Linked DNA regions of Mus musculus. The protein of the gene in region 6 purifies or fractionates together with the protein of the main gene of each other region. This does not show direct contact. Links are inferred from orthologs where the notes say so. Each region holds a gene or a part of one and is shown on either strand. Other genes may lie near its edges. The genes, in order: Kpna4, Ybx1, Kpna3, Cbx5, Gtpbp4, Mecp2 and Ddx56.

Region 1 (3,500 bases), on a different chromosome or scaffold from region 6:
ATTCAAGACCTATTAAAAGTAAACATTGAAGCACAAGCTCATCTTGTGGCAGATAAACAAGAGTTAGGAAACAAGTGGAAAGAAAAACAAAGTTGTTGGATATTAGAATACTTTCCAATGTCTTGCAAATCTTTGAAAAAACAAAACACTAAAATTTGTATTTAATCAAAGAACTTTGCTATAACTGGAGAAATAAGACTGAAAAATGGAACTGAGGAACAATAGGTTTTCATAGTTTGACATACACATGTGCGCGCGCGCACACACACGCACGCACACGCACACGCACACGCACACACACACACACACACACACACACGCATGCACGCTCGAATTAGTATTTAAGCTAAATATTCACTTATGCTTCAAAATACAAAAACACAACCATGTGTATATATTCTCAAAAGCCAGATGGCAGCTGGAGTAAGCATAAATGTCAAGAACAATCAATCCTGATGAGAGGAGATGACTAACTGCATCTTTGTAACAGGTTTGACTCCTCACTGAAGCTACAGAAACAGAGGAAATGGAAACATAACAAATAAGTACCTTAACTCTTGAAATGGTAAAGTATGACAGAATACAATTACACACTGTTTTCAGTCCAATATCATAGTGGGAGTCCAGAAGATATACATACACACATACATACATTTATTAATATACGAGAAGAATTTACTCACATTTACATCTGTGTGATGAATTAATACACAAAGAGCTGGAAGAATCTGAGGAGAGAAATATGTACAACTTAAACATACTGATTAAAAGAAAAAACATAAAATGGTATCTAACTATTTTTTTCTTTTATTTACCTCCTGAATTGTCTCCATTGGTGGTGGTGGGTCTTTGTGGCGACATAAATTGACCATAACCCAGGTAACATTTCTTAAGAATGTTATAGGAATAGATGGACTTATGAATGAAAGCAGAGGTTTTACAACTCCAAGACTTATCACATAATCTCTACACTGAGGTCCATCACCTGTAGAAAGGATTAATTAAATAAGATAAATCAACACTAAGCTTTTTCAGAAAACATAAAGCACTGGGTACAATTATGCAGCTACTAACATTTTAATAAGATTTTTTTTAGTTTATATAAAAATACTAGGAATTTAACAAGTAGACATTATAGGTCTTTGAGCCAAGAGAACCAATGTAACAAATATGTGTCTTTATAAGCTGCTCACTTACAGGGTGTCACTAAGATGCAGAAGCCCAAGATTATTTCAAATACTTTGAGCAGACATGTTATCATTACCGCAATGCTTTGTTCAGTATAACAAGCTTTTACATTAATACAATATGTCTAAATAACTATTGAGAAAATTAATGCAGAATTTATACATCATGATTTAATAGGGTCTAGTGTGTTGGCACAAGTCTAATCACAATGTTTTGGAGGTAGAGTCAGTATGGAGATAAGTTTAGCTACACAGTGAGTTCAAAGTTAGCCCAGGATACATGAGACCCATTATCAGAAGCAAAACTAATCCACAGGGGAAAAAAAAAAACTTTCTTGCACTATAATATCTGGTGATGTATATAATTCTAACATGTAATTAGAGAATAAAAAAACAAAAACAAATATCATAATGGTTCTCTACTTTATTATAATAATTTACCATAATGTCTCTTTGATACAGTGGGGTCACAAAATCTTTAAGGAGGGGGATGTCACATATCAGATATCCTGCATATCAGATATTTACAATCCTTAACATTAGCAATATTACAGTTATGAAGTAGCAACAAAAATAACTTTATGATTGGGGTTTGAATATCTCTGGCCCAGGGAGTAGCAATATTAGGAGGTGTGGCCTTGCTGGAAGAAGTGTGTCACTGTGGGGTGGGCAAAGAGACTCTCCTTCTAACCATGTGGGAGCCAGTCTTCTTCTAGTGGCCTTGAGATGAAGATGTAGAACTCTCAGCTTCTTCTGTACCATGCCTGCCTAGATGCTACTATGTTCCTATCTTGATATTGGACTAAACCTCTGAACCTGTAAGCCAACCCCAATTAAAAGTTGTTCTAAGAGTTGTCTTGGTCATGGTGTCTGTTCACAGCAGAAAAACCCCTAACTAAGACAGTGGTCATCACAACATGACGGTGAGCATTAGGAAGGTTGGGAACTTTTAACAGCTTTATACAAAGCTTTGATGCTTGATACAAGAGGCACCCAGATATGCAACGTCACTTCTAAAAGCAGTGTCCTCTACACTAGTAAGTTCACAGAGTACGCTGCTCACAAAAATTAATAGGGGCAATAACAATGCTAACAACACTTACATGCAAATAACTGTGGAAACACATACCTATAACCTCTAAATTCAAAAGGCCGAGGAAGGAATAGGGCTCAGAGTTCAGTAAAACATGGGCTACAGTCAGTCAGGGAGACATAGCAAGACAAAACAAACAATACCCTCCATGTCAGAACAATGAAGACTGTGATGAGTGTTTAGGGCTGTTGAGATGGCTTGGTGAGTAAAGGTGCTTGCTAACACTCTGAGTTCAATACTCAGAACACACGTGGAAGTGTCTAGTCTTTACACATATGCTGTAATATACATGTAAACACACACATATACATATATACAAAGTAAGTGAAGTGTCTTAATTTTTAAAGAATGTCCAGAATCCTCCTTCATCAAAACAAACAAACAAACAAACAAAAAACAAAACAAAAAACAAACAAACAAAAAAACCACCAAAAAAGGGATTTCCAAGATTTCCAAGCCAGATTTCAGTATTGGTTTGGGGGTTGGGGGGTTGTTTTTGTTTTTTTGAGACAGGGTTTCTCTGTGTAGCTCTGGCTGTTCTGGAACTTGCTCTGTAAACCTAAAACTTTCAGAGATCCACCTGCCTCTGCCTCTGCCTCTGCCTCCTGAGTGCTGGAATTAAAGGAAGGAGTGCTGCAACCACCACTAGCTAGTTTTCTGTTTGTTTTCAGACAGCATCTTGCTATGTAGTACAGGTTAGTCTTGAACTCACAGCAATTCTCCTGCCTCAGCCTCCCTAGGTACTGGGATTAGTTCTTTGAATTTTAAAGTCTGAGTTAATACAGCCTCCAGTAAACAGACTTGGCGGTATATAGTCTTGCAATCCCACACTTGGGGTGGGGATTCTCCAGCTGAGGTAAGACGACCATGAGTTTCAGGCAGCCAGATTACCACAAGCAAACAAAAATGCCTCTAGTCTAAAAAAATGCTCAAAATACTGAGATTGTGTCAATTATTTTTCCTACAGTTATTTATAAGGGCAAAGGTCATGATAATGTTCAATAATGAATTAGGCTATTAGATACTTACTGTTAATTCACAATAGAAATATACATTATATACTAAATTTTAATCTCTTATACAAGGTTTTTAGACTGCTCAAGTATGCTATAAAAAGAAAAATTATTTTAATTTTTGCCTACTGTTATTCATAGATGGGGAAAGTTAGTAATAATGTATATATTTTATAACCCTTTAAATAACTAAGAGCTGACTACCAA
Region 2 (3,500 bases), on a different chromosome or scaffold from region 6:
TTAACCAACACTGTCTGTTATCGGTAAACTCACACCTGTGAATCTTACCCAGGAATTCTTTCACTATGCTCTTGACAGCAGAGTATTTACAGCAGTCACCATGACTGGTATGAGCTAACACTAACATGTCTCTGTGTGTTTATGTTAATAGGGCTGCTGAAGTCTTTCATCAATTCCTATTAGTTTCTACTACAAAGAATTGGCCTAAAAAGTTGATGGACTTGGCGGACAACTAGCAGCCATTAGTCCCCACTCAGCAGCAGTTCTTTAGTGCGATGCCAGTGCGCTCGCCCTGGAGCTTCTCTAGAGGGAAACACCCCAGACTAGCCCGGCCCCACAAAGCTTCTCTACCCCACTCACGTGGCTACAGCTGATGCCTCACAGCACTCCTGACAGACTGCTTACTGCTGGTGTTACCTGTTATTCTAAAAGTGGGAGAGAGTACTCAATTATGACAAAACTAGACATTATTATTTAAGACCTTTATTAACAGGTGCTTGCAGTTTGTTGACTTTTTTGAAAAAATCAAGTTGTAAACTTTATTACAAATTAAAAATGAAGTTCTTAAAAATCTCAACTTGACCAGATATGAAACAATTTAAAAACCGTTAAAGGTGTATTGAGAAAAACCAGGCCTTTTTTTTTTTTTTCTTAAAAAACACGTTTGTCATTACCAAAAAGAGACATCTTTAGGTAAAAATAATAAAAACCCCATGCTGCATAGATAATGCAGATAGTTCTAATGTTATCTGGTCAGAGGGCAAAAAGCAAGCACTTAAGGTCTTCAGCTCCAATCTTTGTTCATTTCTTATTGCTGGAATTTCATATTCATTTCTTCTTGTTGGATGACCAAACTGCAAAGAAAAGACTCTTAATTACCATCCCGAAGTCTAGCTCGTGGACCACACTCTAGAATTGGCACTCTAGCAGCCACATTTCACCCACTGTTTGGCTTTAGCTTAAAGGATGATTTACAAGAAGAGAAGTGGACACTAATTGAAAAATATGGCAACCCCAGAACCAGAGCAGGTAAACAGTCTTACTCGCTAGTAAAGTCAAATTAAGCTAAACTAGGCATGACAGACCTCAGATTTCCTGGTTGGCTTCAAATTCAGAAATCTGCCTGCCTTCTGTGTGGGTGCTGAGATTAAAGGTGGGCACTGCCAAACCTGGCAAGGTTACTTTTCAAACCTTCAAATTCACAACACTGTCTTCAGAGCACAGGAAGTAAGACTTTGCTTAGCTTTCTGCCAAAATTATCATTGATTCAGAATGTAGGCAGCTCATAATCAAAAAAGTACATTTGTCTAATTTGTGCTAGAGTGCACAACACTATAATAAAATGTCTTATCTTAATCTATTACTGCCAGTTTCTTTGCACCGTAGCTCAGTGCAGTGGAAGCCAAGGGTGCCTACTTACCCGGATGATGGTAGAGATGGTAAGCCGGCATTTACTCAGCCCCGCCCTGCTCAGCCTCGGGAGCGGACGAATTCTCAGCTGGTGGATCGGCTGCTTTTGTCTCTTTGCCATCTTGTGGTTTAGGGTTCTCTGGGCGTCTGCGTCGGTAATTGAAGTTTCGGCGATACCGACGTTGAGGTGGCTGCTGACCTTGGGTCTCATCTCCTTGATTTTCTTTGTCCTCTTCATTGCCATCCTCTCTAGGCTGTCTTTGGCGAGGAGGGCCCCTGAAATGAATGCTACATAATCTCAGAAAACAGTAACAGCTTTTTTCCTTCCTTTAGCCTTACCACAAGTAATATTTGGTACCTGGGTGCACCAACCATTTATTCAAGTGGTCTTTCAGACAAGCTTACTTAGCAAAAAATCTAAGTTACTCTCAAAAGCCAAGTGTATAAGTAGATTCTCATTCATTCATATTAACCAAGATCAATAAAGCTGAATCAGCTGCTCAAATGCTTGGAAACAGAACCATGCTGGTTCCCTCTGCCTGGACTTTTCTTGCCAGTAACTATTCTTCTATGTACTATGTACTTTTAAACCTCTCATTTCCATTTAACACACACTGAAATCCTTGACCTAATTTTTTACCGATACCAGTACCCTTTCCATCAAAAGGAGCTATACTTCCCACGGGTCTTAATATTTCCTATTTGTTCATGAACAAAAAAATTAGTATTTTCTCACCATGTACTTATACATGAGTAGCACCATGTTTCATTTACTACTGTTAACACTTAAACTGACAAGCAATCAACTGAGAAGTGACCAATTTGTGGCATGGTTAGAAAATCCTTTACTTTGTGCAAACTTTAAAGCTTGCACAATGTGTTACCTACCATAAAACTAATTCAAGGGCCGGAGAAATGGCTCCATAGTTAAGAACACTTGTTTCCAGAGGACCAATGTTTGATTCCTAGCACCCACATGGTGGCTCACAATCAACCCTAACTCCAGTTTCTGGGGAACCCACAAGCTCTCTGACTTCCATGGGCACCAGACACATGCAGGCAAGCGTTCATACATATATAGAACAAACAAAAATCAAAGCAGAAAGGATCAATACCTATCTTTATAAAAGGCAGACATACAACTAAAAACACCAAAAAATATTTGCCCAAGATATCAGTATACACAACTACCTGTTCGTTCTTAACATCAGTACCAAGGGATTTGATGCCTCTGACTAAGGCACACATACATGCAAACAAAACATGCAAATAAAATAAATCTAAGAAATATATAACCAACTATAATGAACCATCAAAAGGTCCCTAATAATCTTAAAAACACGGGACATTACGCAGAGGCAGGCGATCTGGATCTGAGTTTTGAGGCCAATCTTGCCTGCACAGAGTTTCAGAACAGTCAGGGCTACATAAAAGCTTGATCTCAAAACAAATGAGTAACACACAGGGCAGTAAGCATGAGGGCGCACACCTTTTAATGCCAGCCCCGAAGAGGCAGAGGCAAGCAATTTCTATGAGTTCTGGGCCAGTCAGAATTACCAGGTGAGACACTGCCTCAAAAATGAAATCAGGGCTGGTGAGATGGCTCAGTGGGTAAGAGCACCCGACTGCTCTTCCGAAGGTCAGGAGTTCAAATCCCAGCAACCACATGGTGGCTCACAACCATCCGTAACAAGATCTGACTCCCTCTTCTGGAGTGTCTGAGGACAGCTACAGTGTACTTTACATGTAATAAAGAAATAAAGAAATAAATCTTAAAAAAAAAAAAAAAAAAAAAAAAGAAATCAAACCAACACAGAGCACTGGTCACACTGGGTGCCAGGGTAAAGGCCTTTGATTCTAGCTACTCAAGAGGCCAGGCAGGAAGGCTGGTCGTTTGAAGCTGGCAGCTCAAGCAACTTAAATATTCTCATTCTCCCTTCTTTCTCAAAAAAACCACACACACACACACACACACAAAAGATTAAAAGATCACAAATGTTGACATACACACAAACACACCACACACACCTAATTGGGGGTGGGAGGGTCAAAATCAGGAGGGTACTTGGACAAGTGGACAGAGGATTCAA
Region 3 (3,500 bases), on a different chromosome or scaffold from region 6:
TTAAGACCATCTAGAACCACCTGCACCACTTGAGAATCTTTTACTGACAGTAAGTTACAGAATGGTGGTATTACGTTCTGCTGTACAAGGTATTCAACCTAGACAATACAAGAGAAGAAATATCTGTAATATTTGTTAATTCTTTTTCCTCTAACAACTGCAGTACCCAGACGAAAACATCTAGTAACTTACAAAAATAAGAAGGGCCCTTGCTGAAATTAGTAAAGTGACAAGTTAAATTTTCTCATACTCACTTGATCTTTTCTGCCACTTATCGTTAAGTTGCTAATTGCCCAAGCAGCTTCCTTTTGTGTTCCAAAGTCCCCCTAAAATGTAAAAACAATTTCGCAAAGTAAGCTCTTTATCAAAAACATGTGGGTTGTAAAAAATTAAGATAAATAATGAATTTATAATATAACTGACCTTAGCGAGCTGATGAATAATCATAGGGATTAACCCAGCATCTATTACAGCTTGAACTTGCTGCTGATTGCCTGCTGTTATATTGGAAAGGAACCATACTGCTTCCTGTAGTGAACAAAATATGGACCACTTTTATTGAAAAAGCTACTTTTAATGTTTTTATTTTTCTCTTTAATATTTTAAATATTTGATAACAAAATCTCCTGAGTAGTGTTAAAGTGACCAAATCTAAAAAGTGATCGGTTGTGCAAGACTGCCCTTTTAATTTTACTTACTATCGCTGTATGCGATTCTAGTTTTGGTATATAAGCAAAGGTTGTACACATCTGTGCCACAGTGCATATGTGCAGGTCAGACAAATTCTAACTTTTGAGATTTGGTTCTCTCCTTCCATCATGTGGCTCTAGAGATCTAACTCAGGTTGTCAGGTTTACAAGGCAAGCATTGTACCTGCTATTTAGCCAATTCAGACTTCCCATTTAAGTAAAGAGGAAGGAAGCTTCCAGTCGTGATACTCGTATGTCCACTAAACCCAGTGTTTATGTAATGATCTGTAAGCCTACTTTAAGCTAAGCATAATTCTAAGTAGATACAACAGCAAATAAAGCAGCCTCAAACCTTTCTCCACAGAGTTGTATTAGTTTATTTTGAAAGGCATGCCCAAAGATTGGAATTTCCAAATTCTTGTCAAAACTACTTCCACTACAAGATATTTATTTTAAAGCATTAGGTCAGGGGAGAAGGTTCGGTGGATAAGGTGCCTTCTACAAGAACATGAGGACCTGCGTTCAGGTACTCAGCACCTATGCGAGACACATGGTGACCAACAACTATAGCCACACAGCTTGAGAGAAAACGAAACCCTAATACACTGTAAAGTACAGCCATAAGGGAAAATAGTTTAAAGGGTCCTCAAAAAACTACCACACAGTTACCATGACTGCAGCAACTTCTAGCAACATCAGAGAGTAAACTAAATCAAAGACTTGAAAGTTACTGATGTGTCAGTGTTTTCTGCAACTTTATTCACAATAGCCAAGCAGTGGCAACAACCCCAGTGTCATTCAACAGGTAAATGAGAAAAATGTGGTATAACATCCAACAGAGTGACTTATTCGGCCATAAAAGCAAATCAGGTCAAGGCTTGCTTGGGAGGAGGCTGAGGTGGTGAAGTGCCTGCCATACGAGCATGAGCCCCGACGAGATCTCTAGCACCCATCTAGAACCTCGGCTCACTGACACATATCTGTAACCCAAGCACTGGTGAGGCACAGACACAAAAGATCTGTAGTGCTCAGGTCCAGTGAAAGACATTGCTTCAAAACACAAGGTGAGAGCATGATCTGTTCTCCAAAACCAGAGCCCAGCTCCTAGGAACACCTGGGCAGCTCAGTCACCTCCTGGACCTCCACCAGCTCAGGGAGGGAGGGGCTGTTTCTGACCTCTACTGGCACCTGCATTTATATGCACATGCCCACCCACCCATACACAGAATTAAAAATAATAAAAGTCATTTTTAAAAATACAATGTAGGGAGTAACTGAGGAAGATAACTGATGCTGACCTTGGTCCTTCCCCCTCACACACATAAACACACACACACAGCTCTAACATTCTATTAAATAAATGAACTTTAAAACAAGACATAAAACTACTTAAGTGTCTGCTGTCCAATTACAAATACATTTGTGTGTGTGTGTGTGTATTTAAAACTTTAAAGGAATACATTTTATGATCTTTGAAAGAAGACATGATACCCTAAGGTCTTTTCTATGTTGTAGAAGATTAAATTACATGTTTATTTTTTAAAAATACCAGTTATTTTTGTGGGAGGTTTTGTATGTATTTTTTGTATACTGGTTAATAACTTAATAATTACCAATTTTGCTCAACCTATTTAAACATAAAAAGTCCAAATATTCACTATTTTTATTCTGTGCTGAGAGTGGGACTAAAGGAAGCAGACAGTGATGAAACAGTAAAACCGTGACAAAGATCTCTCCCCTGGAGTGTCATGACTGAATAAACATCCTAATAGCAACGAGGAAACCGTCATAGAGAGGAGAAGCAACAGTGCATGCCTTTACCTTATTTATTTTCTCTTTTGGGTGTGACAAGAGGTTTGGGAAGTGGGACAGGACATCACAGTTGAGAACCACCTGGGTCTGCTCATCAGTGCCAGTCACTATGTTCCCAACCGCTCTGAGTGCTGCAGTCTGAAGGAGGAAGAAAACAGTTTTAAACATGTTTATAATGAAATTGTTGTTTCCGTCTTTTTCATTAACTCTTGAGAGACTGTGAGGAACAAAAAATTAACATTTATTCCATCCCTACAACAAAGCCATAAGCAAACCAAGCAATGGCTTTTAAACAGTAATTTCTTGTGGTATTTTTTTTTTAAGATTTATTTATTATTATACATGAGTACACTGTAGCTGACTTCAGATACAACAGAAGAGGGCATCAGATCTCATTACAGATGGTTGTGAGCCACCATGTGGTTGCTGGGATTTGAACTCAGGTCCTTTGGAAGAGCAGTCAGTGCTCCTACCCACTGAGCCATCTTGCCAGCCCCCAGTGGAAAATTATTGAACTCCACATAAAACTTTCTAGGAAAGTTTTTTAAATAGCGAAAACTAAAATTTATGAAGTCCCATCTTTAAAACAGTTCTTATTCATCACTGAACAGGTCCCATAGACTTTAATATTATTCTGAATTAGCATGCATTTGTGTCTACCACGTCATATACAGTCCTGCATTTAATATATTTAATGTCATTCTGGGTCAGCATTTATTTTTAGTTGGTAAAACATTTGGCAGAGAAGTATAATGAGCAGAATTTACAACAACCCCTAATCAGAGCACAGCAAAAGGTATGCAGTTAGGATACTATCCCAAAGGCAGACTGAAGACTTCAGTGAAAAGAAAAGGGACCTGAAACAGAGCAGGATGAAGGAGGAGCCTAAGCATTCAGCAGCAAGGATGGAGAAGGAACCCAGGAATCCAGCAGGACATGAAGGAGAATGCAGGCATCAGATATGCACCATGCTGTCCCTAACAGGATACTGAACACAGG
Region 4 (3,500 bases), on a different chromosome or scaffold from region 6:
GGTCACTGTAGCTAATCAACACACTTCCCTGCAAGCTTTTGTTTAACAATATACCTTAAGGTCCATCCTTAGAAGAGAAAACCTAAACCCCGTTTGCACAGCAGGAGCAAGAGGACAGTGACAGGAGCAGGAAGCTCACCTCTCTCTTTTTTTTAGATTTAATATCATCAGCGCTGTTGGAGAAACTGGATTTCCTCTTGTTTCCTTCTGATTTCTCCCTGGGCTTATTGTTTTCACCCTCCTTCATCTTCTTATACTTTTTCATAAACTCAGAAATTAGTTCAGGACAATCCAAGTTCTTCTCAGGTTCCCAAGTATTGTGCTCCCTGGACAAAAATAAAGACAAAAGGAAAGAATGAGGGATAGGATAATGCCCTGTTTTCACCCACTTCCCATCTCGGCAGAACTGGCGAGTGTTTGCAAACTACATCCTTAGCTTAGCTGTTTTCATTGCGAAGGGTTGTTGTAAGGAGGACATGTGAGGGAAGGACAGGAAATCTATACTTAGGGTATAGTTCAATGGTAAGGCGCTAGCATATGCAGTGCCATAGGCTTGAGCTGCAGCTCTGCAGAGAAAAAGAAATCCAACAAATTTAATCTTCAATATTCACAGAAGAGACGTGGGAAAAAGTATGTTCATAAAAGTCATGTAAAGAACTATTATAGCAGCAGTATTTTTTTCAGGACTGAGGATCAAACCCTAAACCAGGATTTTATATCTGCTCCACCACAGAGAGTACAGCCCTATAGCAACATTTTAGTAGCCAAACCCTAAAACAAACCTGAACAGTCACCAACTGATGAATGGATGAACAAAAATATGATGCAACTGTATAATGGAATAGTATTAAGCAACAAAAAGAAACAAAATACATTGAGAAAAATCTCAAAAACAGTATACTGAGTTTGTAAGAAAACATACGCTTTCTTTCTGTTTCCGTTTCTCTGACATACCCTGGCAAGATATATTTTAGATTAAACTGAAGAAATGTTCTGTAATGGACACACAGTAACAAGCCAGACCAATCTCAGCGTTCAAAGCTAGTCTGGTCTACAGAATAGTTTCCAGAACAGCCAGAGCTACAAGGAGAGAAACCTTGTCTCAAAAATACAAGACAATGCTGGGCATGGTGGCGCACACCTTTAATTCCAGCACTTGGGAGGCAGAGGCAGGCAGATTTCTGAGTTCGAGGCCAGCCTGGTCTACAAAGTGAGTTCCAGGACAGCCAGGGCTATACAGAGAAACCCTGTCTCGAAAAACCAAACTAAACCAAACAAAACAGAACAAAACAAAACGAAAAACAAGACAAGCTGGGTAGGTAGTGCACGCCTTTAATCCCAGCACTTGAGAGGCAGAGGCAGGTGGATTTCTGAGTTCAAGGCCAGCTTGGTCTACAGACCCTGTCTCGAAAAAACAAAACAAACAACAACAAATAAGACAAAACCCTTGTCTCAAAGAACAAAACAAGAAACATCACATTGTACAATTTCAATGGATATGGGTGGCTCTTTTACTATTTTTTATTTTTTTGAGAGTGAGTGCGGTCCTAAACCTCATTCTGTGGACTGAACCCAAACTCAAGATACCTGCCTGCCTCTGCTTACCAAATGCTGGGGTTAAAAGCCAGTGTTGGGACTAAAGGCATGTGCCACCACTGCCTAGAGTAGTTGACTCTTAAGGCACATAAATTATAGTTTAATAAACCCATTTAAAACTACCAATTTGGGGGTTGGAGAGATGATTCAGTAGTTAAGAGTGCTTGTTATTCTTGCAGAGGACCTGAACATGGGTAATTCCAATTCCAGTGAATCTAATGCCCTCTGGCCTCCACAGGTACCTGCAAAGTATTCATACTACCCGCCCTCCCCAGACACAGACAAACACTCACACAATTAGCAGGTGGTGGTAGTCACCTTTAATCCCAACAAGGGAGAGGCCAGCCTGATCTACAGATCAAGTTCCATGGCAGCCAGGATCACAAAGAGAAACTGCCTTTTTTTTTTTGGTTTTTCAAGACAGGGTCTCTGTGTAGCCCTGGCTGTCCTGGAACTCACTCTGTAGACCAGAATGGCCTTGAACTCAGAAATCCACCGGCTTCTGACTCCCAAGTCAGAATACTGGGATTAAAGGCATGTGCCACCACTGCCCAACTGCCGTTTTTTGTTTTGTTTTGTTTTGTTTTGTTTTGTTTGGTTTTTCAAGACAGGGTTTCCTCTGTGTAGCCCTGGCTGTCCTGGCACTCACTTTGTAGACCAGGCTGTCCTTGAACTCAGAAATCCACCTGCCTCTGCCTCCCTAGTGCTGGGATTAAAGGGCGCCACCACGCCCGGCTCCAACTGCCTTTTTAAAAACAAAACAAAAACACCCCCAAACAAAACAAGCCCCCCCCCCAATTGAATCTTTAAAAAAAACAAAACAAACCCAGTCTAGAAGTTGGGTATATAGCTCAGTGGTAAAGGTGCTTGTCCAGTTGTAAGCAAGGCTCCATGGCATTAATCCCTAGCATATCTTCTCTCCATGAAAAAAGGCCGCCTATTTTTATTTTATTTTTACTCAGGATCTGTGGCTGGCCTGGAACTTTGCTAGGTAGATCAAGATGACCTCTAACAGAGAATCAATGGTCTCTACTTCTCAGAGTGCTGAAATTAATGGTACATGCCACAATACTCAGCTTCTCTTTGAGTTTAAAGACAGTCTTACTATGTAGCTCAGGCTGGTCTTGAACTCTCTGAAATTCTTTTGTTTCAGCCTTCCAAATACCTAGAGTACAGAATGAACCAACATGTAAGCCTCTGAGGGTTTTTTTTTTTTTTTGGTTTTTTTGAGACAGGGTTTCTCTGTGTAGCCCTGGCTGTCCTGGAACTCACTCTGTAGACCAGGCTGGCCTCGAACTCAGAAATCCGCCTGCCTCTGCCTCCTAAGTGCTGGAATTAAAGGCATGCGCCACCACGCCCGGCTGCCTCTGAGTTTTTATATTCTCAAAGTTGACCTCCAAATTTTCTATTTGTGGGCTGGAGAGATGGCTCACCGGTTAAGAGTACTGACTGCTCTTCCAGAGGTCCTGAGTTCAATTCCCAGCAACCACAAGGTGGCTCATAACCATCTGTAATGGGATCCGATGCCCTCTTCTGGTGTGTCTAAAGACAGCAACAGTGTACTCACATGTATAAAATAAATAAATCTTTAAAAAATTTTTTCTATTTGTAGCACAGGTTTTAGAAAACTAAAACTACAAAGATCTAATGGAGCTCTGAGTCCAGACTTAAGACACATGGGACACTGTCTCAAATATCAACAACAGAAACAATAACAAACAAAAAAACTAAGAAAAAATAAATGCTATGGATGGGAAGACAGACTGATCCCTGAGGCCCATTAGCCAGCAAGCCAATGTGTATCAATGAACACAAGAAAGACATCTGGCAGGGCAGTGGTGGTGCACACCTGGGAGGCAGAGGTAGGCAGCTTTTTGAGTTCAAGGTCAGCCTGGTCTACAAAG
Region 5 (4,047 bases), on a different chromosome or scaffold from region 6:
GCCAGGACCTGAGTTTGGAATGGCTGAAAAACTTGTGAATACTTCCAACTGATGGAGGAGGCCCCTTCCTTGTCACTCTTCCAATAAAAATATGCCTGGGGTAGAAGAGAGGACTTGCTAATGGTTGCTGAAATATATTTTACCCCATGTTTTTTAATGCTATTTTAACTTTCAAATAAACTCAAGAATAAATCAGAAGAAAAAGAGCCAGCTCTTCAATTTCAAGGATTTTGTAGCTTTGATTTTAAAGGGGTATAAAATGAAAAATCTAAAACTCATCATCTAAAATTTCCTGGGTATGCTGAGTAGACTATTTGAGATATTTGTACTTATTCACTTTTACCCAACCATAGAAAGCTGTTCTACTTTCCCTTGATCACTTCCATTAATTGAACAATATTGATCATTTTCTATAATAAAGGATAGAATGAACACAATGCTGAAGACAAAACAGTGAAGAAGACACTAAGATCCAACGAAACAAAACCAAAGGCAAGCAGGTAATCACAATACAGTCTGCCAGATTACGGAGAGCATGGATACTCAGGCCTGCTGCTCTTCTACTCTGTTCCTTTCCATGGTCCTCATATCTTTTAAAAGTTGCCTACTGAAAAGTTTCTCCAAACTCACCCATTTATTAGTATATTCTTTGTTTTTATTTTTCTAATCAGGGTTTCTCTGTGTGTAGCTTTGATTGTCCTGGAATTTGCTCTGTACACCAGGCTAGCCTCAAACTCACAGAGATCTCCTGCCTTTGCCTCCTCAGTAGTGGGATTAAAGGCATGCACTAACACCGACTGCCCAGTTCTCACTACATTCTTATGTTATCCCAAATCTCTGATATTTACAGGAGTTTATAGTCAGGGTTCCTCCCACCCAAGCCCTCGCCCACCAAAACAGAGAGATATTTGAGTTCACTTTATAAAATGGCACAGTACTTGTGTGTAGAAGAATCCACATATATTTGTCATATACGGTAAATAGCTGTAACTATATGTAGGGAATGCTCCTTTAAAAAGTCTATGTGCATGGTGGCTCACGCCTTTAATCCTAATCCTAGAGGCAGAAATGTATAAGTTCCAGGCCAGCCAAGGCAGACAAAAAGAAAGCAAACAAACAAAAAAGAGAAAATAAAGTCTATGTACATTAAATATAGATGCAATTTTCAAATAGTGTTTTTAATCTGTGTTGGTTGACTCTGGATTTGAACTCATACAGAGGGCCAATTGGAGCTCACACTTCTCCATCATACTGCGGTGGGTATAAACACATTCAGTTATTCCTTCAGAAAATCCTTTTTTTTTAAGATTTATTTACTTATTTATTTATTATATATAAGTACATTGTAGCTGTCCTCAGATACTCCAGAAAAGGGCATCAGATTTCATTACAGACGTAACGTGGTTGCTGGGATTTGAACTCGAGACCTTCGGAAGAGCAGTCGGCGCTCCTAAACCACTGAGCCATCTCGCCAGCCCCCAGAATATGATTCTTAAAGACGCAGACTATTCTATGTGTTTCTATACACAGAACTTGGCACACACTTTACAAAAGCACCCCATACTCTTCAGATTGACTTTTTATTTCCCACCACCTATCTACACACATGCAAACTCATCTGCAAACAGACCTCCTTCAGGGCAACAGAGACAAAGGCTGCCTTTCCTAGGTCAATTATATCAACAAAGTTCCTTTGACCCAATGAACTCTATTTCCAGTGAAATAAAAAGTGTACGAGTTCCTTCAACATGCACTTGAGAAGTAGTGGCGACAGTCTCGTGGGCTAAAACAAAATGTGATTCCTACATGTAGTTTCTTTCCAATTATTACAAACGTGTGAAAAACGTATCAGAATGGATATCAGAAAGAGGAAGAAAGGAGAAATACAGAGACGTGTAAGGAAAACAACTAGTGGAAACATGGTTTTTGTCTTTTCAAGACAGGGTCTTTCAGAGATCCGCCTACCTTTGCCTCCCTAGTGCTGAGACTAAAGGCGTGCACTACCACGCCCACCAGAAAATACTAGTTCTTTACACAAGTTTTCAAAGCAAGCTCATTCAGAAAGGGGGATGTCGAAAACACCCACACTGCGGTCAATTTAACGATAGTGACACTGGTTCCTCTAACTGATTCTGCAATTTAATGCCCATGGCTTGCCAGAGAAACCGGTGTATCCTTTTAGGTTCTTTAGCCTACCTCATTCTCGACATTTGGGAGGAAAGCATCTTGCTACGTTACATAATGTGGGCCTGGCTACTTGCGTGCTTATAACCAATTGCATCTTTTAAGTCCAACGACAAAATGACAGCTACCTAAAATCTTTTTAGACCGTGACGTCACGAATCAAATTCTACTTAAAGGGGAGGGTACTCACACGACGCTCACCACTGGCCCCTTCAGGCTTCCTACCCTGCTCCTTACTGTGGCCACCACCCAGACACTTTGTCCCGTCGGCAGGCCACACAAGAATCATAGGCTCTGGAACGGCCCTGATGTCTTGGAGGGATTCTAGGGCTTAGGGTACCCAAGGACAGCAGGAGAGGGGCTTGGTTTCAGAGAGTGGGACTGATCTCCGAGGGTCGCGAGGACAAAGCCTAGCAAGCGGAGCTCCGCACTGAGGGCCGAGGGACTGCACGGTGTCCTCCCTCCCCCAGTCTCGGGGATACAGGCCTGGACCCTCCCTGGCGACTTGTCGGGGAAATGGAGATAGGCGGAAACGACCTCTGTCACCCCTACCTTGGCAGACGGCACCACCGTAATCTTCTTGAAGTTGTAATGCGCCATGCCGGCGGTGGAACGCACGAGGAACCAGGAGAAGCGGAGGACCGGACTTCCGCCGGCGGAGGTGGGCGGGACTTCCGCTATCCGGCGTGACACAACTTTGGCTGCCGGACTCAAGCGTTACATCATTTCCTGAATGTCCGCGAGGCGTGGCCCACGCGTCCGCCTAGACAGGCTTCTAGTCCCACAGCGTCCCCGCTCGGCCGGGAAGTCCGCCGCCAAGAGCCGCGGTAGAGATCTGCTGGGTTTAGAGGTGGGAGAGATAACCTTGCGGGGTGAAAGGGAGACTCCCGGCTGGCCACCTTGGCGGGGCTCTCAGGAAACACTGCCCTCACCCAAGCCGGCTTCGGGGCTCCAAAGGGTGTTTCCAGCCACCTCTGGGGACGCCGCGGCCAGAGCGAGTGACGAGCGGGAAGACGCAGCGCGGGGCTTCTGCATCACTTTGGTGTCCCTTGAGCAAGAAAGGCTGTCTGTCGCCTGGCAGTGTGGAAAGTTATTTATTCGAGTAAATTATGTTGACGGGGCTTCTGTTAATGGAGTAGACTGCATACTTCCAGGTGGCCCGAGTTTCCTCTCCTGACCTTGCAGTCTCGAGGTGGTTTGTGGGTGCTCCACCTTCACCTGACCTTCACCTGACATGGGCCAGTGAAAAAACTCTGCCCCCCACACAGCTGCCCAGAACCCAGGCACCAGACATAGACACAAAGTCTGATCCGTACAGACCTACATGGATTGAAGCCAACCTTCCCACTTGCGTTTTCCCTGTCAGTTTAATTAAGCCACCCATTTCTTTACCTTAATCCATCTACTCTTGCCTCATGATTATCTTTTAACTAAAAGACCCTTTCTCAGGTGTTGCCATCTTCTTCAAACCTTTCTCCCTATTTTTCTGTGACATCCATCATTCTGGTACTTGATGTCTAGAATGCAGTCTTCTTTGCTAATTTACCTTCCTGAGTCTCTCCCTAACTAGATAATCCTCAAGGTTCTTCCTCTCCTCAAAGTCTCCTTTCTCCTTTCTCCTTCACAGCCCCAGTGTGGACTACTTTGATAATACAAGTTGCTTTCAGCCTGGTGTCTTTTTTAATTACAATCAGACATTTTCAATCAGACTCCAGATATGTTAAATTGGGTATTTCCCAAGAGCATTTACTTTCTGCTTTTCTGACTAAATGCATCTCTCTGTGCTGTTGGAAAGGACAGTCTCGGGCTGGTGAGATGGCTCAGCGGGTAAGAGCACTAACTGCTCTTCTGAAGTTCCTGAGT
Region 6 (3,927 bases):
ACTCCATAGCTTTGCCTCCCTATCCCCAATAGATTAGGCTTCATAGAAGCAGATCAGGTAGAGTGAACCACTCTATCTGGAAAATACACAGATTGCAAAAACATATCATAACCTTCCAAAATCTTTGTGGTCTATGTGTAGTCTTTGTGGTCATATGTACCTCAGGAGTCAAACAGCACAAAAAACAGAGTAGAAGGCTAAGGATGTGGAGTGATTGCCTAGCATGCATGAGGTCCTGGGTTTGACCACCAGTATAACAATAACAAAAAAAAAAAAGGAAAAAAATAATCCTTAGAGTACAATGGACAACATGATGCTTTCTTCTTCAGTGAAATAGTGACCTGTTACTGTAGCTTTAAAGTACTCAAGACACATTCTCATGGAAAGAAAATAGGCATATGTGATAGATCAATACTAGCAAGAAAGCCATACAGTTTCTTCAAATTCTTAGGACACACTAGCTTCAGATGTCACCAGGCACTTTGAAAGGAAACTGTGTTCTAGAAGTTGCTTACGATGTTTAAAGAGCTATGGGTACAACAAATAGATAACCAGAGGGGCACCTGAGGAAGCAAACCTGTTGTAAGAATATAAAAACAAAGTAAAGGTTCCAACTCTGAGCTCAGGCTCAGATGTACAAACCTTGGAATTTTTTGACAAGCAAGACTTGGGTGTGTTTGTGAAAGTGAATGCACTCTGTCGGCCATGTGTATTAACTCATTTTAGATCATTTGTACTTTTACAGTGTTTGGACTCTTTAAGGTTCTGACATATCCAGGTAAGAAAATAAAAGCAAGTGTTTCCTAGGCTTTCTGAGTATGACTTGAATTTGAAGTTAAAAACAAACGAAAAACCAAAAGTCTGTAAATATATTTTTCCAAATCCTTGGTGGAAACTCCCCAAGGACCTAACAATCCAAATTTTATCTTTTTATAGAGATTCGACATATTTCAAAGAACCTAAGATATCAGTTTAATCATGTTATTAATTGAAATTGCTGAGATTCACATAATTCCAACCACAAACCCAAAATTCTCCTCTACAGTAATAATTACCTATTAGTGAAATTTTACTACCCAGGCCCAAATTGGTTTCATTTATGTAGTATAACAAAATATCTAGAACTTGTCCTACAACATCTCAGTCACTTAGCACTATAAATTAGTCCATTCTGTTTCATGATCGTCATCAACCACCCTGTATTTGAGCCTACTGCCTCACTGTAATGATTCCAAACAGTGGAGTCAACATGCAAATGACTCAACAGAGCCCATTTGTGTTCCTGGAAAATTAACCAAGAGTACATATCTGCCTGACTATGAGTCAGGAATATCAAATTTGTGGTGGAGCCCATTTTTGTTTTGATCAACCTATACCCGAACATACAAGGAACCAGCATAGAGGTATCCCCTAACAAGCTTTGCCCTTCAGGGGTCCATACTGAACAATGTCATACCAGGGTCTCTCTTGTGAGAGGGAATCTTTTTTAGACTCCATGATGACTTTAAACCTTTAGTGCAAAACCTCAGAAACATTGCCACTGCCACATAAAAGTCACCTGTGTTTTATTTTCAGTGATTCAGCCATAACCAAACTAAAAAGAGAATGAACTTTCAAAGATAAGTGACAGGAGTCACAGCGATGCGATGATCTCGCCCCATTTGGTACTGGCGATCCTGAGCGCTCCAGGACGAAGAGAGCCCGTTACATACAACGTCCCATTCCACTTATGTAACTGGATGATCGCTGGCGAAGGGAGGGGAGGGAGGGTGGGAAGACGCTCATATTCCGAAGCCACAGCACAGCATCCCCAAAGAACCAGAGCACCCTGCGGGCATGGTCTCACGGAAGAGCTTCGAGTGCTGAGGAACGCACAGTCCCTTGCCCACGGTTCCTGATGAGAACTACAACCATCTCTTTATGATGAGTTGTGGGACCTAGGAACATAATGTCTAGTCCTTTTTGTGGGTGGACAATAACCCTCAACTTGTTCCTGCCAAGTGGGGAATGGAGCTGATGGACCGACTCGCTTGCAGTGGGGGCAAAAAGTCACGGAATGGGAGAGGAGGAGGAGGGAGCAAAACCCAGAGATGGGGGTAAGAGCTCAGGAGCCCTTGTGGCGCACTCTCCCAACGGGAGATGGACTGCGCACGCGCGCCAGTCTGTGTGTGTGAGGGGGGAGCAAGTAACGGGAGTGGGGGCGCGCGAGGGAGAAGGGGACAGCGCGATCCAGGGAGAGGCCGGGACCGCGGGCGCGCGACAGTGCCGAGGCCCAAAGCCCCAAGAAGGGCAGGAGCGCGCGCAGCCCCAACTGGCGAAGCCCAGACGACAAGGGCGCTTGCACAGCTGGGGCCTAGGATGCGCACAGATGGGGCGGGCAGCGGGAGGGCGTCATTCGAAGGTGGCTCCAGGGAGATCGCGCTGAGAACCGTCGCTCGCGATTGCGGGAGACGAGTGGAGAAAGCCACCACCGGCGGCAGAGGGAGGGGGAGGGTAGAGAGGAGGGACGCCATCCGCCAGCCGTGTCGCCCGACCCCGCGGGCCCCTCCCGCGCCACGTCCCGCCCCTACCCGCCCCCCAGCAAGGGTCCCCGCCCGCGGCCTTGGCGGTCCCACTCACAGTCTCTCCTCCTCGCCTCCTCCTCCTCCTCCGCTCGGCGCGGCGGCGGCGGCGGCGGTGGCGGCAGCGGCGGCCATTTTCCGGACGGGTTTTACCACAGCCCTCTCTCCGAGAGGAGGGAGCGCGCGCGCAACCGATGCCGGGACCCCGCACGGCAGACGTCGCGCCCCGCCCTCCCGACCAGCCTGTGTGCTGCTGCACCTGCGCGCCCGCGCCCCACCCCTTGCTCTTTGTCGAGATTACCCTTCATTGGTTGTGGAGCCCAGGCTGGGGCGGAGCCTTAGCGGTGACGCCCTCAATTGGCAGGAGTTCCTGTCTGTTTAGGCAGGGAAAAGAGGCGGACCCCATTCAGCTGCGGATTGGTGGAGTTCTACTGTCACTTGGAAAAAAGAGGCGGCTAGGGCACAGAGGGGCTGGTTTTGTGGGCAGCATTTGAATGTTGAGGATTAACTGGGCCCTTGTGGACTCTGGCGCTTAAGGAAGTCTAGGCTCTTGGCGCCTATTAGAGCCTCCCTGCTGAGTAGTTCACCATTGTGATAAGCATTTGACTTCACCAGCATTTCTTTATTATCATTTTCTGTAGAAGTAGCAAAGTTGCCTGTTGAGGAGCCTGGCGTTGTTCCAAGCCAAGGGACTTGTTTTAAAGGGTCTACTGATTGTATTATTACACTAAATTAGCAGATGTCGCACTCTTAAGGCTGACAGTAAAATCAACATATCAAACCTTGGTCTTTGCAGACGTTTATAATGGGCAGATGGTGTGTGCCAAGCCCATAAGAGATCGGTCTGTCATTGTTGAATCAGATGGTTTGATGGAAGTACGTATAAAAGGGAGTGAGGCCAGAGGGAGCATTGTCAAAGCAGCCTTACCCTGATACCAGTCAGCATCCAATGCTCTTTGTGCTAAACAAATGCTCAACAAGAGACTTTCTTTCTTTGTTTGTTTTTTAAACACTATGCAACAAGAGACTTTCTGATTCAAATTTGGCTCCCCTCTCTATTCATTTATTTGCTAGGCACTGTTTTAGTACTGAACAAGGAGACAAACTAGACTCCTGGTAAGGAAGAGTCATACTAAACATACAAGAAAGTAGAACTTAAAATTTTGCACAGAGATAAAGACTTTGAAATAGATAGGGCAAGGACAAAAGAAGTGCTATTATGATACCCTCTAGCTTTTGCCCTCATGTCGTCTCCCAATATGGGTAATTGGGGAAAACATTCTAGGCAAGTTTAAACACTCTAAGGAAGGACTATGCCTGCCTTACTAAGGAGGCCAGTGTGACTGGAGAGAGACCTAGGCCACCA
Region 7 (4,300 bases), on a different chromosome or scaffold from region 6:
AAGGACTAAACGCTCGGCTGCTCTCCAGAGGACCCAGGTCCTAGTCCCAGCACCCACATGGCAACTAATACTCCGTAAATCCAATGTCAGGGGATCCAACACCCTTTATGGCCTCCCTATGCATCAGCTACGCACGTAGGACACATAAACCACACAGGCAATAAAACACCTACACTCGTAATTTTCCTTCCTTCCTTCCTTCCTTTCTTCCTTAATGGAGCAGCAGCTAATTATTTCAGAGTTGTCATCATACTGAGAGGCTAGCTCCTAGCAAGTGGTTACAGAACAGAAAAGGGATCTAGGTGTATAACTGAGTGGTTGAGTGCTTACTTAGCAAGAACAAGGCTCTGGGCTCAATCCCTCACACTGCAAAGAGGCGGGAGGAGAAGAAATAAGACCAGCTGTGTGAGGCAGCCCACAAATTTAATCTCAGCACTTAGAAATCTGAGGACTGCTCTAAATTCAAGGCTAACTTGGACTACAAATACAGCATAACCCATCTCGTAAAAGGGGAAAGAACCAACTGGGTTCTCCTTCCATGTTTCTTCTCAGCTTATCTTTATCAAGACAGACACAGCGGACCTGGAGCGCAGTGGGAGTTCTCCGTTGAGCACGCAGGAAGGAATGCTGAACTGTTCCAGGAAAAGACGGAGCCGGTAACCCCTCTCTAGAGTGTTGACAAAGAGCAAGGCTTTGCCCCGAATCAGTGACAGCTTGAGCAGGGCATACAGCAGCAAGAACTTGTCCTCTTCTGTCTCACAGACCACCTGAAATTGCTGGAGCTGGTCTGGCCCCGGCAGCTGGGACTCCTGTAACTTGAGGGTAACCTAGGAAGAGGACAGACCTGTGATCAGGAAAGAGAAGTGGTTCTGTGGACACTGCCTCACTAACCAAAGCAACTACATTAGTGCAGGATAGAACATGTCTTTAAGGGTTTTTGGTGTGTGAGCCACTGCCCCATCCCCCACCCCACCTCAGGGCTGTAACCTAAGAACTCAAAAGTACCCTAACTATTGTGGTATTAGAAACAAACTATACATACAGCATCAGTGTACAGCACAAAGACAAACATTGGGAGTAGACAGGATACAGAATAGAAGCCTGCACAATGGCTGGAAGTAGAAGACTGAAATGTACACAAGGGGAACTCTGGTCTTAGAATTTGGCTCCCTTTGGAAACGTGACCCCAAGTGACTTCCAAGCAAAGCACAGTTTGGACTAGGGAAAGCTATAAATATATAATGACTTCAAGTGACTTCCTTTCAGTGATTAAGAATTAGGAAAGACATACCTAACAAAAATAGTCCCCCCGCAAGCGCCAGAAGTTTCCTGAGAAGGATCAACAAGTTCAGAGACTTGGGTCTCAGTCCCAGATGCTCCACTTACCGGGTTATGCAGTACCAGCTCCTTCAGAGTTTGTACATCCTCATTGAAAGTGGCCGACATGAGAAAAGCCTGGTAAATCCGAGGCAAGTGACTGAAAGAAAGAACAGGGCTTGATCAGGCTCCAGCCCACCCATTCCACTCCAGTCCCAAGTCCAGACCCTTGCAGGTCTAGGAGCCACTTCTGTTTCTTCCTTACCAGAGAAGACTCTTGAGTTCATCCTCAAAGCCAAAGGAAAAAAGAAGGTCAGCTTCATCTACCACCAGCAGCTCTAGGGAGTCCCGGAGTTTCAAGGTGTTCTGCTGCAAGTGGCTTAACACTCGGGATGGGGTTCCCACCACCACATCTGGCTTCTCCATCAACACAGCTCTGCAGGTGGCAAGGATTTAGCAGCCAGACCCTCGCCCTGGCAGACCTGCCCAGGCTAGCCACTCACACCACCAAGGGCACACACTTGCAAAGCGTTCTCCCTTTGGAGGCCTGCAGGTTTCACCCACCTCTGAGAAGCTGAGTCTTCTGCAGCTGAGACGTTAGCCACTCGCACATCCCGAGCACAGTAGGCAGCCAGTTGCTGGATCATGGCCTGGGCCTGCCGTGCCAGCTCCTTGGTAGGAACAAGAACAAGGCCTCTCACAGCCTGCTCCATTACAGGACCTGTCTGTAAGAACACCAATTCAAGACCGTTCAAAGTACTGGGTCCGCCCAAACAGTCAGAACCATGTACTGCAACACAACCACCTAGCTGTGTCCTGATAAACTCTTAATTCTGCCCACCTCACAGCACAGGGGGCAGAGCTTTCCCAGGCACTCAAATTTAGAACTTGCTGAAATCACTTAACGTACTACGGAGCTGATGAGTCCCCCTCTAGATAAAAGGTTACTCAAAATTACAACAGGATGGCGGTCGTGGCACCAAGGCCCGGGTTGAGAGCCAAGTAACCTGAACTCCAGCTCAGAGATTAAGCTGCAAATTGACCAAGTTCTCTATGGGCCGCCTAACACTGACACAGGACCTATAGGAGGAACCTTGGCACAGTCGGGCACTTCATTCCCTATTCTTTTGGAGCGTCCTGCCTCATACTCACTGCTCCTCTCGCTACCCACCGCCTTCTTGTGGAGAAGCGACTGAAGCATCGGAATAGCATAAGCTGCGGTCTTCCCGGAGCCTGTGCGGGCGCGGGCCAGGAGGTCCTTCCCCTCCAGCGCCAGAGGAATGGCCTTTTCCTGGATCAACGTAGGTCGCGACCAGCCCAAATCGGTGACAGCCTAAGAAGGAAGAGGACGCAGCTCAAGCGGCGTGGAGTACAGCGGCACACCGGGTAGCAGCTCCACAGCCTACCCCATACCTGCAGGAGCCGGGGATCCAGGCCCATGTGTTCAAAACCCAGCGCTTCTTGGTCCTCCATGGCGTGACTCCACGCTGTCAGTGCGCACGCGTAGGGCGGGACAAACCAACAACTAATCAGCTCTGGAAGGTACGTCACTTCCTGGAAGTACTTTCTCCTGGGTGTCCGACGTTGCTACCAATTTGTGCTGGCTCTGCGCAGGAGCGTTCCGCAATGCTGTCCCTTGAACGCCCTCCGAATTGTGGATGCCTCTTCTCTGGCGCCTCAGCCTTCCCTGACCCACAGAGTGACGTGGGCAGGGCTTTGCTAGGTTATGGTTGGGATCGACCGCGTTTTGGCTAAAGGGAGGCAGCCGCCACTTAGGCACATGCGCAAAGGAATTAGGGTTCTGTGGGTAACCAGAGGCAAATCTCACTGGGCAGAAATCGCGGCACAAGTTGCTAACCTAAGATAAATGTTAAATCAGGCCTTCAGCTACTATGAAGATTTTCACAAATACTGCCAACACGCGGTGCAATCCTTAACAGCTCTTAGAAGAAGAGCCAAGTTGACTCGAACCCTTCCTGGGACCATCTTTCCCAGAAAACGAAAATCAGACTTTGTTACACATGTTAATAAGGCCCATTCTTTGAGAATTCCTTACCAGGGAATGTCCTTAGGACTTTTTCTTCTGTTTTTGTTTTTTTTTTGTTTTTTTTTTTTTGTTTGTTTGTTTGTTTTTTTCAAGACAGGGTTTCTCTGTGTGGCCCTGGCTGTCCTGGAACTCACTCTGTAGACCAGGCTGGCTTCAAACTCAGAAATCCGCCTGCCTCTGCCTCCCAAATGCTGAGATTAAAGGCATGTGCCATCACTGCCTGGGGAAGATTGATTGATTGGTTTTTTTGAGACATGGCCTCATTATGTAGTGGCTGGCCTGGAACTTGGTAGGTAGACCAGACTGGTTTGACTCAGCCTCCCTAGTGCTGGAATTAAAGGCATGCACTACCACCCTTCCTTGGGACCTCTTAAAACACCTAAAGCCAAAAAAGTGTCAGTTGACCTTAGGCCCATTTCTTCTGGGCGCTGTAACTATTGTTAGGGCAATAACAGAAAAGAGATTGGTGGGGACTAAAAACATTTACCAACAGGGTCTTATAGTGACCACCTATTAAGAAAGGGAAAGCCCTCCTGATAACAGGAGGGGCTGAGCTGAAGGAAAAGACCAATAAAAGGGGTCATTAAGTGGGCAACAGGATCAATGTAGAGCACTTCCCTAGCGTGCATGATGCCTTAGAGTCTCAATCAGCAGCAAAGGAGAGGAAAAGGGGGAGACTTAAGGTGGGGCTAGAAGCCTAACTGCAAAACGCTGGACTCTGGCACCTGTGACTGCAGTGAGCTCAAACTGATGATCTAGATCAGTGCTTCTCAACCTTCCCAATGCTGCTACCCTTTAATACAGTTCCTCACGTTGAAGTGACCCCCATCCAGAACATCATTTTTACTATTTCACAACTGTAATTTTGCTACTCTTATGAATCATGATGTAAATGTGTCTTTTCTGCTGGTCTTAGGTGGACCCTGTGAATGGGTT

Evidence for each region.
Region 1: the proteins of Mecp2 (region 6) and Kpna4 purify together in Homo sapiens (affinity purification with mass spectrometry; 3 studies listed by BioGRID and IntAct, counting the BioPlex papers as one, with this or other methods). This does not show direct contact. The link is inferred for Mus musculus from reciprocal best matches to the Homo sapiens genes MECP2 and KPNA4.
Region 2: the proteins of Mecp2 (region 6) and Ybx1 purify together in Homo sapiens (affinity purification with western blotting; 3 studies listed by BioGRID, with this or other methods). This does not show direct contact. The link is inferred for Mus musculus from reciprocal best matches to the Homo sapiens genes MECP2 and YBX1.
Region 3: the proteins of Mecp2 (region 6) and Kpna3 purify together in Homo sapiens (affinity purification with mass spectrometry; 3 studies listed by BioGRID and IntAct, counting the BioPlex papers as one, with this or other methods). This does not show direct contact. The link is inferred for Mus musculus from reciprocal best matches to the Homo sapiens genes MECP2 and KPNA3.
Region 4: the proteins of Mecp2 (region 6) and Cbx5 purify together in Homo sapiens (affinity purification with western blotting; 3 studies listed by BioGRID, with this or other methods). This does not show direct contact. The link is inferred for Mus musculus from reciprocal best matches to the Homo sapiens genes MECP2 and CBX5.
Region 5: the proteins of Mecp2 (region 6) and Gtpbp4 purify together in Homo sapiens (affinity purification with mass spectrometry; 3 studies listed by BioGRID and IntAct, counting the BioPlex papers as one, with this or other methods). This does not show direct contact. The link is inferred for Mus musculus from reciprocal best matches to the Homo sapiens genes MECP2 and GTPBP4.
Region 7: the proteins of Mecp2 (region 6) and Ddx56 purify together in Homo sapiens (affinity purification with mass spectrometry; 3 studies listed by BioGRID and IntAct, with this or other methods). This does not show direct contact. The link is inferred for Mus musculus from reciprocal best matches to the Homo sapiens genes MECP2 and DDX56.

Annotation. Positions count from the first base shown.
Region 1 is NC_000069.6:69,089,093-69,092,592, forward strand, and holds part of Kpna4 (importin subunit alpha-3), read right to left. Parts: intron 986-3,500; coding exon 816-985; intron 729-815; coding exon 684-728; intron 1-683. UniProt on the Homo sapiens protein: Functions in nuclear protein import as an adapter protein for nuclear receptor KPNB1. Binds specifically and directly to substrates containing either a simple or bipartite NLS motif.
Region 2 is NC_000070.6:119,277,514-119,281,013, forward strand, and holds part of Ybx1 (Y-box-binding protein 1), read right to left. Parts: intron 1,699-3,500; coding exon of another isoform or gene 1,687-1,698; coding exon 1,452-1,686; 3' UTR 1,421-1,451; intron 855-1,420; 3' UTR 1-854. UniProt on the Homo sapiens protein: DNA- and RNA-binding protein involved in various processes, such as translational repression, RNA stabilization, mRNA splicing, DNA repair and transcription regulation.
Region 3 is NC_000080.6:61,370,448-61,373,947, forward strand, and holds part of Kpna3 (importin subunit alpha-4), read right to left. Parts: intron 2,640-3,500; coding exon 2,511-2,639; intron 529-2,510; coding exon 424-528; intron 327-423; coding exon 255-326; intron 99-254; coding exon 1-98. UniProt on the Homo sapiens protein: Functions in nuclear protein import as an adapter protein for nuclear receptor KPNB1. Binds specifically and directly to substrates containing either a simple or bipartite NLS motif.
Region 4 is NC_000081.6:103,205,353-103,208,852, forward strand, and holds part of Cbx5 (chromobox protein homolog 5), read right to left. Parts: intron 327-3,500; coding exon 140-326; intron 1-139. UniProt on the Homo sapiens protein: Component of heterochromatin that recognizes and binds histone H3 tails methylated at 'Lys-9' (H3K9me), leading to epigenetic repression. In contrast, it is excluded from chromatin when 'Tyr-41' of histone H3 is phosphorylated (H3Y41ph).
Region 5 is NC_000079.6:8,993,213-8,997,259, forward strand, and holds the start of Gtpbp4 (nucleolar GTP-binding protein 1), read right to left. Parts: upstream 2,801-4,047; 5' UTR 2,785-2,800; coding exon 2,737-2,784; intron 1-2,736. UniProt on the Homo sapiens protein: Involved in the biogenesis of the 60S ribosomal subunit. Acts as a TP53 repressor, preventing TP53 stabilization and cell cycle arrest.
Region 6 is NC_000086.7:74,082,891-74,086,817, forward strand, and holds the start of Mecp2 (methyl-CpG-binding protein 2), read right to left. Parts: upstream 2,801-3,927; 5' UTR 2,697-2,800; coding exon of another isoform or gene 2,620-2,696; intron 1-2,619. UniProt on the Homo sapiens protein: Chromosomal protein that binds to methylated DNA. It can bind specifically to a single methyl-CpG pair. It is not influenced by sequences flanking the methyl-CpGs.
Region 7 is NC_000077.6:6,264,930-6,269,229, forward strand, and holds the start of Ddx56 (probable ATP-dependent RNA helicase DDX56), read right to left. Parts: upstream 2,801-4,300; 5' UTR 2,791-2,800; coding exon 2,731-2,790; intron 2,651-2,730; coding exon 2,489-2,650; intron 2,043-2,488; coding exon 1,882-2,042; intron 1,754-1,881; coding exon 1,583-1,753; intron 1,478-1,582; coding exon 1,387-1,477; intron 828-1,386; coding exon 583-827; intron 1-582. UniProt on the Homo sapiens protein: Nucleolar RNA helicase that plays a role in various biological processes including innate immunity, ribosome biogenesis or nucleolus organization. Plays an essential role in maintaining nucleolar integrity in planarian stem cells.